Macaca fascicularis: one gene and its partners. The protein of the gene in region 2 interacts with the protein of the main gene of each other region in a biochemical or structural test. Links are inferred from orthologs where the notes say so. Each region holds a gene or a part of one and is shown on either strand. Other genes may lie near its edges. The genes, in order: IFNAR1, STAT2 and CREBBP.

Region 1 (3,553 bases), on a different chromosome or scaffold from region 2:
TTTCCAAAACAAACAAACAAACAAACAAAGCCTGGGCAACATGGTAAAACCCCATCTCTAGCAAAAATACAAAAAAATTAGCTGGGCATGTTGGCATGTGCCTGTAGTCCCAGCTACTTGGGAAGCTGAGGTGGGAGGATCGCTTAAGCCCAGGAAGTCGAGGCTGCAGTGAGCTGACATCACATGAGTGCACTCCAGCCTGGGTGACAGAATGAGACCCTGTCTCAAAAAAAAAAAAAAAAAAGATATAACAAAACTGCCTTAACATTCAGTGGCTCACAACATGATTATGTAGTTTCTCACTCACAAGTCTACAGACTGGCTGGGGAGCTCCCATGGAGGCTGTGCATTGCATCGGGTTTAGGTCAGCTCCAACAGCCTTTAATCCTCCTTGGACCAGAGACTATGTGGAATACGCTTTCTCCCTGGCAAACAGGAGCAGCGCAAGAGCCAAGCCAAACTCTGCAAGCACACTTAAGGCCTCTGCTCTCAGCACATCTACTCGGGCTCCAGCATCTACAGTCTGGTGATGCCGGGATGAAGGCACCATCCCAAGTATTTGCCAAACAGCAATTTAACCAATCACATCATTTGGCAGCGTTGTTTTGAAGAATGATTCAGACAATTCATGTGCAATACTTAGCATAGTACCTTACATATAAGTATTCAATAAGAGTTTCTATAATAATAATTACTGATATATGATCCAGTATAGGATAAGATGGCAACTACAATCTATTGAATCTCTACTACTTGTCCAGCCATGTGCTAGGTATTTGCTATCTGTTACTTCCTTTTAAACTTATAAACATCCTTTTGAAAAATTTAGTTGTTATGATTACCACCACTTCAGAGAAGAGGAAGCAAAGTCTCCAAGAGATAAAGCACCTTGAGTAACGTTACACAATTTAGTAGTGTGAGATAGAAATTTAGGTTTGTCTGATCTACAGACATCTGAAAACTGACCATAATTCTCAATGGGCTACATTATGCTATGGTTACAGTGTTGTTAGACAGTGAAAAAGGGAAGCAGCCAAATCAATGGAATTTGCTTAGATTTCCAATAGAAAATGAAGCAAAGTGAAAGAATTCACCAGCCTGCCTGGACAGGAGTTTTAAAGGTAGATCCTTGACTAACACTCCACAAGGAAGAAGTGATCTGGGAAACATGTATATTATCTGATGGTGTATATTATCTTTGTCAGTGGTACCTGAATTTTAGGGTTTAGACCAGTGTTTGTCAACCCTTTTTTCATTACTTTTTGGGCAATTTTTTTCTAATCCTTCCCCCATCAAAAAATTAAAGACTAAGGAATAACATTTTGTTGGGCAAAGCTGAACTTTGGAAGAATGTTTTCCAATGGTTTTGGAGGAATAAAAACAACTGTACTATCGATTCTTTTGTCCCATGAGAATCAATTTTTGTCCCCTTGGAGGAGCCACCAGAGGACATTTGACAATATTTGGAGATATTTTTGGTTGTCACAACTAGGAAGGAACACTACTGGCATCTAGTAGGCAGAAGCCAGAATGCTGCCAGGCATCTTGCACTGCACAGGTCAGTCCCCCCTGCCCCACAAGGAACTATCCAGCCCAAACGTCAGTAGTGCTAAGAAACCCGGGTTTAGATGAATACATAGGAATCATGTTAAAAAAAAATGCAAATTCATGAGCTCCATCCCCAGAGATAATGATTCAGTAACAACAGGCTCAGGAATCTGTATTTTAAAAGTAAACTGCGCCCAGATGTAGCTCACCCATAACTCTATAGTACAAAACATGAAAAATGCTCATGTTCTTCATTCTGTAAATATCTGAGTTAATCACTCTTTATTTTTTTTTTTTGAGATGGAGTCTTGCTCAGTTGCCCAGGCTGTAGTGCAGTGGCACGATCTCGGCTCACTGCAAGCTCTGCCTTAGCCTCCCAAGCAGCTGGGACTACAGGCGGCCGCCGCCATGCCCAGCTAATTTTTTGCATTTTTAGTAGAGATGGGGTTTCATGTGTTAGCCAGGATGGTCTCGATCCCCTGACCTCGTGATCCGCCCGCCTCAGCCTCCCGAAGTGCTGGGATTACAGGCGTGAGCTACCGCGCCCGGCCTTTTTTTTTCTTTTTTAAGACAGGCTGTCAGTCACTCTGTCACCCAGGCTGGAGTGCAGTGGCACGATCATGGCTCATTGCAAGCTTGACCTCTGAAGCTCAAGCGATCCTCCCACCCCAAGTAGCTGGGAATATTAGGTGCACGCCATCACACCAGGCTAATTTTTAAAAATTTTTATTTGAGACAGGGTCTCCCTATTTTGCCCAGGCTGGTCTCAAACCCTTGGGCTCAAGTGATCCTCTCGCCTTGGCCTCCTGAAGTGCTGGGATTACAGGCCACTGCACTCAGCCCACATAAAAGTTTAAAAATTTCCCCCAAATTTTAAATTCAAGCTTTATTTACCTAAATCACAGTTATAACTCTAAGCTACAAAATTATACTATAGTCTTTTTACCTCAGCCTTTGAAGTGTTTTCCCAAAAAAGAATTTCATAAATCAGTGGATAATCCTGGATCACAGGCTTGTTTTCAGACCATTTTGGAGCACCGATAGAGATATGTAATGAATCACTAAGGGATCTAATGTTAAAGACTGGAGGAAGCAGGGAAGCTAGAAAAATTTGTAAAGAAATAATGTTCAATTAGAAAAACAATTTTAAGAACTTGTACCAAATCAGAGAATTACAATCTCCAGTAAAAACTACTGCCTTACCTTGTATTTCAGTATCAAACTTTATCTCTTCAGACCAAAAAGACGTGTTATTTCCATCAGATGCTTGTACGCGGAGAAGGTAAATTCCTTTTTGGAAAGTGTTTGGAGGAAAGACACACTGGGTAGTTGTGACATTTTCGCAGTCAGGTATTTGTTTCCATTTATACAAATGGTTTCCAGGTTTCCTTTTTAAAAAGGCACTTTTAAGACAAACAATTTTTAAACTCAACCACACATTAATTCAATAGATATTTATTAAGTATGTACAATATGCCAGACACTGTGTTGGGGGCTCAGGTTACAGAAATAAATAGTAGCCACCCTCAGGAAACTCACAAACAATGGCGGAGATATGCATCTAACATAAAAGAAAGCCAAACATTGTTCCACACTGTGATCACGCTGTGCTCTGCTGCAGGTGGCTTATGTCAATGTGCAAGAATATCTGTTAGTTAGAATTTCCAGGAATGCTGCAAGCTGGGGTTTTTTTGTTTTTTTGTTTTTTTTTTGAGAACGAGTCTCGCTCTGTCACCCAGGCTGGAGTGGAGTGGTAGGATCTTGACTCACTGCAACCTCCGCCTCCTGGGTTCAAGCAATTCTCCTGCCTCTGTCCCCCTGAGTAGCTGGGATTACAAGCGCATGCCACCAGGCCTGCCTAATTTTTGTATTTTTAGTAGAGACGGGGTTTCGCCATGTTGGCCAGGCTGGTCTCGAACTCCTGACCTCAGGTGATCCACCTACCTCGGCCTCCCAAAGTGCAAACTGGTTTTTAAACAAAAATCATTATTAAAAATTAAGTTAT
Region 2 (4,258 bases):
GATCTGCCCACCTCAGCCTTCCAAAGTGCTGGGATTACAGGTGTGAGCCACCGCACCCAGCCGGCCCCAACCTGTATTTTAATAGCTTCAGTAAGTGGGCCTTTGTGCTTTAATGGGAATTTTCTTTTCTTTTTTTTTTTTTAAGACAGGGTCTCACTTGGTCACCCAGGCTGGAGTGCAGTGGCATGATCGTGGCTCAGCTTTGATCTCTCAGGTTCAAGCGATTCTCTGCCTCAGCCCCTCAAGGAGCTGGGACTACAGGAGTGTGCTATCACGCCAGCTAATTTTTTGTAGAGATAGGATTTTGCCATGTTGCCCAGGCAGATCTCAAACTCCTGAGCTCAAGTGATCTGCCTGCTTCAGCCTTCCAAAATGCTGGGATTACAGGCATGAGCCACCATAACCAGCCTAATGGTAATTTTCAAACACACACTAAAGCAGAGTGACTAGTACAAGGATCACCATCCAGCTTTAACAAACTACTGTTTCCACTATCTTATTTCATCTATCTCTCTAATTCATTTATTTTGCATTTATGTGTTTGTTGTTTATATTTGTTTATGCTAAACAAATATAAGCATTTAAAGATCAGTGTTGATGTTAAGTATTTATTACAGCATGATCCCTGCTGACCCTGAAGCTTTTTTTTTTTTTTGAGATGGAGTCTTGCTCTGTCACCCAGGCTGGAGTGCAGTGACATGATCTCGGCTCACTGCAAACTCTGCCTCCCGAGTTGAAGGGATTCTCCTGGCTCAGCCTCCTGACTAGCTGGGACTACAGTCGCCCACCACCATGCCCTGCTAATTTTTGTATTTTTAGTAGAGATGGGGTTTCACCATGTCATCCAGGCTGGTCTGGAACTTCTGACCTCAGGTGATCTGCCCACCTTGGCCTCCCAAAGTGCGGGGATTAGAGGTGTGAGCCACCATGCCCGGCCACCTGAAGCTTTTTTAGGAGCTAAATCTTTTTGGAGGTTAGGTAAGTACACCCTATAAACTGCCCTCCATATAGGAAGGAGGAGCTCCATGCTAGAAGACATCTAAATGCTATGCAACGGGTTGCTCAGTCCCTAAGAATATGACACGTTTATGACCTGTGAATCTTGAATATAAGTTATCAACTTTGTGAGATCCTGAAACTTCACTTAAATTTTTTTTGTTTTTTTTGTTTTGGCAGGGCACAGTGGCTCATGCCTGTAATTCCAGCACTTTGGAAGAGGCGGGAGGATCACTTGAGGTCAGGAGTTCAAGACCAGCCTGGCCAATGTGAAATCCTATCTCTACTAAAAATACAAAAAAATTAGCCAGGCATGTTGGTGGGCACCTGTAATCCCAGCTACTCAAAAGGCTGAGGCAGGAGAATGGCCTGTACCCAGGAGGCAGGGGTTACAGTAAGTGGAGATCACATCCAGCCTGGGAGGCAGAGTGCAGTCTCTGAATCAAAACAACAACAATGAATTGGCTTTTGCCTGTCACCAAGCAGGCTGTGCCTTGCATCCTTCTCCCCACTGTTCCCTGCTCGCTGCCATCTGGTGTCTATTTAGGAAACTGAAACTTAAGCTTGTTGCAGCCTGAGCCTAACAAAACAGAATTCATGCACATTAGTGGTCTAAAAAGGTCACATGATTTTATTACAAAGTAAAAAGAAATGCTTGGGGTGGTATAGTCTTCTACTAACATGAATAACATCAGCTGCCCTTCTACCTCCAGCAGGAACAAGGGAAGGGAGGGATTGGGCAGGGGCTATTTTCATTTTAACCCTTTTAGTAGTGCTTGATTTTTAAAACTATGTGTCTGTATTGCTTTTATGATACAAAAAAATATAAGTTAAAAAAATGATTAGGTGGCCAGGCATGGTGGCTCATGCCTGTAATCCCAGCACTTTGTGAGGCCCACAAGACGGGAGGATGGCTTGAGCTCAGTCAGGAGTTTGAAACCGAGCCTGGGCAACATACTGAGATTCCATCTTTAAAATAATAATAATAATAATAATAATAATAATAATGAGGTCCCAATTCTTGAGGATTTAAGTGTCTGATATTAAAGGAGCAAGTCAGCAAAGATTCAAATATGAAAACAAAACAAAAAACCTGGTCTCCCCGAATGGATTGCAAACACTGAGGTTAAGAGCTAAAACAATTTTTTCTCATTATCTCTCACTCTTAAGCACATATTTTGCACTCAAGAAGCTTTTCTGAAATGAACTGAATTTTGTGTGTGACCTTAGGCAATGTTTCATCTTTCAGTAGCTTATACTTTTAAACAAAACAAATAAAGACGATAGATTTATCTATCTTTGTTTTTAGATTTATCTATCTTTGAACATCGTTTTTAGGTGAAGATAAAAAATAATGCAGAGCAGAGTAACGTCAGATACCGAACCAACAATGCCAGATTCCGGGTCTCGGAAGCTGCAGGGCAGTTTTCGGGGAGGGGCATTGGGGTTGGGGAGATAGGCTGGACAGGAGAAGATCGAGAACCGAGCAGGCGACAGACAGCTCCTCTTTCAACCTGGGGACAGAAGCTGCCCCCTCCAGGGCGTAACTCCTGGGGCCAGTCGCCCTTCCCTGGGAGGAACTCTCACTCTCACCCCCACCCCTACCTCAGCACACCCTCTCAGGGCCCGTACCTGATTAGGGTTGCAGTCTCCGCGCCCTCCACTGGCTCTGGTCGCGACTTCCCGTCCGTAGAAGGAGTTCGGGTACTAGAGCCTCAGGCCCCGCCTACAACTTCGGCCTACACCCTCGGACCCGCCCCCTCGTAGTTGGCAGCGGAAGTCCGGAGCGGCCCCATTCCCAGTCGCCACCCCGACACTGGCTGCCACTCAGTCAAGCCCTTCCCAGACTGCGAACTCACTGGCGCCGCCGCAACTACACCCCCCCGCGGGGCGGGACAAGCTGAGCCGAAACCACACCTGCAGCTCCAGCGATTGGTGGAGAAGTTCAAGTAGGCACTTTCTACGAGGGGAGGAGTCTAATTAGTGGACTGGCCCAAGACTGAAACAGCTGATTTTCGAGAACCCGCTCGTGAGCCACGGAACCGAAACTAGCTTGAGGAGCCTGTAGACGCCAAGGGCTCCATGGGAAGGGGTGGGACCGGAATTTCGACGCCTTGGGATAGGAAGAGGAGGGCTGAGGTAATGAAAACAGTATTTTTTTTTTTTTTTTTTTTGAGACGTGGTCTCGCTCTTATCACCCAGGCTGGAGTGCAGTGGCGCGACCTCGGCTCACTGCAGCCTCGACCACCCGGGCTCAGGTTATTCTCCCGCCTCAGCCTCCCAGGTAGCTGGGACTACAAGCGTGCATAACTCCGCCAGGATAATTTTTTGTGTTTATTGTAGAGACGGAGTTTCGCCATGTTGCCCAGGCTGGTCTTGAACTCCTGACCTCAGGTGATCCTCCTGCCTCGGCCTCCCACAGTGCTGGGATTACAGGCATGAGCCACTGCACCTGGCTAATAGCTATTTATTGAGAGTACTGTGATAAGCACTTTAGATTAATTGTGTCATTTAAAATTTACAGGGCAACTCATTGAAGTTAAAATCATTCTCTCCTTTAGAAATTTAAAAACTGATCTTAGTTCAAGAAAGAAGTTACCAGTCAGTGATCACGGAGGCTCTAACAAGTGGAGCCTAGATTCAAAACCAAACCCTCTGACTTCAACCCCCAAACATTTACGTTCCTACGTTTTACTGTACAGCCTTACTCCTGAATAAATCGGAGTTTAAAATTTTGAAGACATGTATACAGCTTGTCAGGATATTAGATTTATTAGTTCTGTGGTTACTACCTTCTTTTATATCCCAAGACTCCCAGCCCCAGGATCTAAGTCATAGCTCTTGATTATGGCCCACCCCCAGTAGGGAGCTGAACTTACTACTTCTGATATGAAAGAAGCCAGGGTAGTTGTTTCTTCCAAGTCACTCACATCTGAGATGGCCCTTAAACCCTCCTTGGTGGTCTCTGGCTGAGAGATGTTTGCGTCTTTCCGATCTTGGTAATACTGGATCAACTGCTGAACCCCAGACCTTAATGCAGGTTTAAGTGCAGCACTGATCGCTAGACCCATAGGTCCCCCTGACATCCCGGCCATGGTCATCAGAAGGTCATATCCCAGATCTATGGCCCCATCTCGGCCTCGTTCCCTGGCCTTGCCCAGGCAGTTTTGAGTAGCATAATACAAAGCTGTGCCCAGGTTGTAGAAGGTTCCCACTCCTGGCAGCAGCTGGATGACATTGTGCATACCTTGCTCCTTCTCAT
Region 3 (4,296 bases), on a different chromosome or scaffold from region 2:
CTAGTAGTTACACCAGACAAGGTGTCCCTTGTTTTTTTTAGAGACAGCGTCTCACTCAGTCACCCAGACTGGAGTGCAGCAGTGCGATCTCGGCTCACTACAACCTCTGCCTCCCAAGTTCAAGCGATTCTCATGCCTCAGCCTCCCAAGTAGCTGGAATTACAGGTGCATGTCACCATGCCTGGCTATTTTTTTGTATTTTTAGTACAGATGGGGTTTTACCATGTTGGCCAGGCTGCTCTCGAACTCCTGACTTCAAGTTGATCCACCAGCCTCCCCCTCCCAAAGTGCTGGGATTACAGGCATGAGCCATGGCATCCAGCCCCTTGTTTAATGTGCTTGACAATGATCCCTTCCTTGGTCCTCCACACTAACAGACCCTTTCACAATAGTGTGATGGTGATGAATGTGTAACTCAGGACCCAACTTAAGTATGATGTCGACTTTCTACTTTGGATTAAATCAGAGTCATTTAAAGCTGACTTTTGGTCCCACAAAAGAGCCCCTGTGCCTTACAAGGATCAAAACTGGAAAGGAAGAGGGAAAAGCTGGTTAAGTGTGGAAAATCCTTTCTGATCAACTTGTTATTAAGCATCTGATCATCCAATAATGGAAACTACTATGGAAAAAGCTATCCTTCGGGCTCCATCTTGGAAACAGCTGGATGTAAACAGTAGGATAAGCCTTTTTGTTAAGTCTTGTGTTACTAATTGTCCCCCTTTTTAAGACAAAATCTACAACAAATTCATTCAACAATAGCAAAGCTACAAAGCCATCCAGGTTACCAGTTTCAGAAGACAAGCTTCAAAGGTGAACTCGCCTCGTATGACCTACGTCTCACAGAACTGAAGACTACTCAAACACAGCAAGATTAATGAAGCAACTGAGATCTGTTTTGCAGTACAACGGCATTTAAACTATTGTTTCCAAATTTCTCACTTCAGTAAGTTCATTTCATAAGATTAATGTCAAACTCAACTTTTATCAGCTAAAAAGAAAAACATTATTAGTGATTTTTACATACCATGAGCATCATTTACTCCTCCCCACTGTTTAAGAAATTTTAACTAGATAAGAATCTCCTTATGATTGATTTTTAAAAATCGTTTTTCACTTCCACATTAATATTAAATGTCTCTTATCATAACTTGATTCCAGGAATTGTATTCAAACTTAAGCCACAAAATTCAAGTTTTGTTTCAACAGCAATAGCAGTTTTTTGAATATGCTAGTGGTCGGTCACAGAACTATTTCCACAAGTTGAACAGCTGTGTCTAGCGCAAATCTGAAGGCAGCAATGTAATTCAATTTGGACTCATTCATTAGAAACTGATTTTCAGATGCTGCCACTGCAAGACTACTGGAGAAATGCAAGCTGCGCTGGAGACGGAATTGTTCGCAGCGGCACAGAAGTTTCTGCTGCAAAGGAGAGAGCTCTAAAAGAGGAAATACAACTAGTTCATGTTACCATGAACCAGCGCAGTAGGACCCAGAATTACTGAATGAATAGGAAACTAAATACTTCTCTTAAGCAGCAATGATTACTTAAGAAAGTTTCCAGGGAAGCTGTTAAATGAGAGGAAACAAACAAAAGATGATTTATTCAGTATCCTGCTACATTTTTTTGAAAAATTGGAATTCCTACATGCCTTAACATAATTTTTTGTACATCTACACTGTGAAAGCAACACAAACTCAAATGGAGATGGCAGCCCAAATGAACTTAAATCTGCTGTTTAACTTTCTTTTGAAGTTACACATGGAAATGAAACACACCACAGCAACTTTAATGACATCTTGCTAACGAAGTTTGGATTTTGAAAAATGGAATGACTAGTTCACTAAAAACAACAACAACAACAACAAAAAAAAAAACAAAGAGTTTTGAAAATAAGCACTAAGCATCTTTCCAAGGAACTCACTCATTCCAAGAAACTTCGGTTCTAACTCGCAAGCTGGCGGCTGCTGTGAGTATCCTCTGACTGCAGCCTGATCAAGGTGTCGCCAATCCAGAAAATACACTGCGCTACCTTTGGCCACGATCTTGCTTTCTCTAAGCATCAAAGGTACCCTCCGCTGTCATTCCTCTGGACGGCCACGCGTGTGGACACGGCCGCGGATGGATGCGTAGGACATTACCAAACAAACCCACACACTGCACTTTACTTCTTCCCTCCTGGAGTGCCACTCGGGTCCCCGCGAGGAGGGCTGATCGGGTGCGGGGAGGCCGAGCGCACCGGGCGTGTGCTGCCCAACTCGGGCCCAGTGACAGTCCTGCGACGAACTTCCACCCTCCGGCGCGGGGCGAAGGGAACGGGCTGCGGGGCCTGCTCCGGGCTCCCGGCTCGGTAGGTATCCGCGACCACCACCCCCGGACACTCTCTTTCAGGTGGGGGTGACAGCGCGCCCCGGGCCCCCGCCGCCCCGGACCCCTCCTCACCTGTGCTGTCATTCGCCGAGAAGCCGGGCGAGCTGAGTTTGGCTCGTTTGGGGTTGGGCGGTCCGTCCAGCAAGTTCTCGGCCATTTTCACCTGCTCGCGAAAACAGCCCCGGGAGCGGACGGCCGGGCCGGCGAAGGCCCGGACGGGGGTCGGGGGCCCTGCCGGCTGCGAGGGAGAGCAGCGAGCGCGGCCGCGAGCGGGCGGGCGGGCGCCGAAGGAGAGGGAGGGCGCAGGCCGGGTGGGGGAGGCGGCGGCCAAATCTCAGCCACAGCAACAGCGCCCCGCAGCGCTCACCGCCCGCCCCCGGCCGCCGCCGCCGCCGCCGCCGCCGGCCGCGGCCCCCTCATCCCCTGCCCGCCTCCCGAGCGCGACACTCCGCGGCGGGGGCGCCCCGGCGGCCCGGCCGCCCCCCCGGGCCCGGCTGGCAGCGACGGCGCCCGGCCGGGCGGCTCAGGCAGTCCCCGGGAACATGGTGCCGCCGCCGCCGCCGCCTCGCTCCCCCCCCGCGCCCCACTTAATGAATTCGCTCGCGGCCCGACGACGAGGGGGCTCCGGGCTCCGCTCCCCGCCCGCGGCCCGCCGCCGCCGCCGCCGTGAGGAAAAACAATGCGCCGAGCGGGGTCGCCGCCGCCGCCGCGGCCCCCCCACCCCCCGTTCCGCCGCCGCCGCCGCCGCCGCCGCTGCCGCCGCCGCCGCCGCCGGGCTCCGGGAGGCCGAGCCGAGAGGCGAGCGGGGCCGCCGGGGCGGGCGCCGAGGGCCGGGCGGAGCGGGCCGGCCGGGCGGAGCGGGGTGCGCGGGCGGTTGTGGGGCCCGGGACCGGCGGGGCCGAGTAGATCGCGCTCGAAGCCCCGGTCGGGTCCGCGACAAGATGGCGGCTGTTGATTCCTCAATTAAAAAAAAAAGAAAGTTTTTTTTCTTCTCTTTCCAGAGCCTGAACGGGGAGGGGGTGGGGGCGGGGCACGCCGGTGCGTCACCCCCCCCGCGGCGTCACCACGCACGGCCCCCGCCCCGCCCCCTCCACCTGCGCCGGCCGTGGCGGAAAGAGCCGAGCGTGCTCGGGCCGAAGGGCCGAAGGCCCGAAGGCGCGGCCGCGAAGCGCAGGGCGGCGGGCTGCAGGGCGCGGGCCAGGCCTGCGGGGCGCCCGGGCTCCGGGCTGAGCCTCGGCTTTTGTTCTGATGGCGACGAGGCGGCGAGGGCCGGGGCTCCGGGCCCCAGCGGGCTCCGGGAGCAGCGGCCTGGCCACGGGCTGGGCTCTCCGGCGCGGATTCGACGCCAGCCCGGGCCCGCCCGTCCGGCTGGGGCGGCGCTGCGTGTTCCCAGCTCCTCGCGTCCCTGCCCGATACCCTCCTCGGTGGCGTCGGGCGGGGACGATCGGGGCGACCCCAGCCCAAGCCGCACCACTAGCCTTCGCCGCCGGCCAGGGAAGTGGAATGGCCCTGCAGGTTACAAACCGCCTTCAAGTCTGCCGACGAGGTGGGCGGATGGGGAAACTGAGGCAGGAGGGGGGAGAACAACTTCTCCAAAGTCGTCGAGGCAGCAAGTGGCAGGGCCGGGATTCGGGTCCCGCCCCACCTGGTGACACTAGGGAGTAAGGGGGCCTCACGCCTGTCCCAGCCCGAGGCGGTGGGGCCGACACCCTCACCTTGGAGAGTGGGGTGGCGAGCGCCGGCCTGGGTGGAGAAGGGCCCGCGCATCGGGGCTTAAGCCTGGACGCCCAGGCCGCACTCCCCGCCCCAGGCAACTCGCTTGGCGCCTCGCAGGTGCCCCAGACAGGGTTGCGGGCCTGGGGAGTCCCCCACGCGAGACCACAGCCCGCGGGACACTTCCACGAACACCCGAGGTGCTCCCATCCAAG

Evidence for each region.
Region 1: the proteins of STAT2 (region 2) and IFNAR1 form a complex in vitro, tested with the Homo sapiens proteins (2 studies listed by BioGRID). The link is inferred for Macaca fascicularis from reciprocal best matches to the Homo sapiens genes STAT2 and IFNAR1.
Region 3: the proteins of STAT2 (region 2) and CREBBP form a complex in vitro, tested with the Homo sapiens proteins (2 studies listed by BioGRID). The link is inferred for Macaca fascicularis from reciprocal best matches to the Homo sapiens genes STAT2 and CREBBP.

What each region holds. Positions count from the first base shown.
Region 1 is NC_088377.1:13,572,473-13,576,025, forward strand, and holds part of IFNAR1 (interferon alpha/beta receptor 1), read right to left. Parts: intron 3,514-3,553; coding exon of another isoform or gene 3,489-3,513; exon of another isoform or gene 2,988-3,488; intron 2,952-2,987; coding exon 2,752-2,951; intron 2,650-2,751; coding exon 2,495-2,649; intron 1-2,494. UniProt on the Homo sapiens protein: Together with IFNAR2, forms the heterodimeric receptor for type I interferons (including interferons alpha, beta, epsilon, omega and kappa).
Region 2 is NC_088385.1:63,163,553-63,167,810, forward strand, and holds the start of STAT2 (signal transducer and activator of transcription 2), read right to left. Parts: upstream 2,848-4,258; 5' UTR 2,629-2,847; intron 1-2,628. Other genes in the region: APOF (apolipoprotein F), read right to left, coding at 3,795-4,258. UniProt on the Homo sapiens protein: Signal transducer and activator of transcription that mediates signaling by type I interferons (IFN-alpha and IFN-beta).
Region 3 is NC_088394.1:4,656,612-4,660,907, forward strand, and holds the start of CREBBP (CREB-binding protein), read right to left. Parts: upstream 2,852-4,296; 5' UTR 2,526-2,851; coding exon 2,441-2,525; intron 1-2,440. Other genes in the region: uncharacterized protein, read left to right, coding at 2,911-3,914. UniProt on the Homo sapiens protein: Acetylates histones, giving a specific tag for transcriptional activation. Mediates acetylation of histone H3 at 'Lys-18' and 'Lys-27' (H3K18ac and H3K27ac, respectively).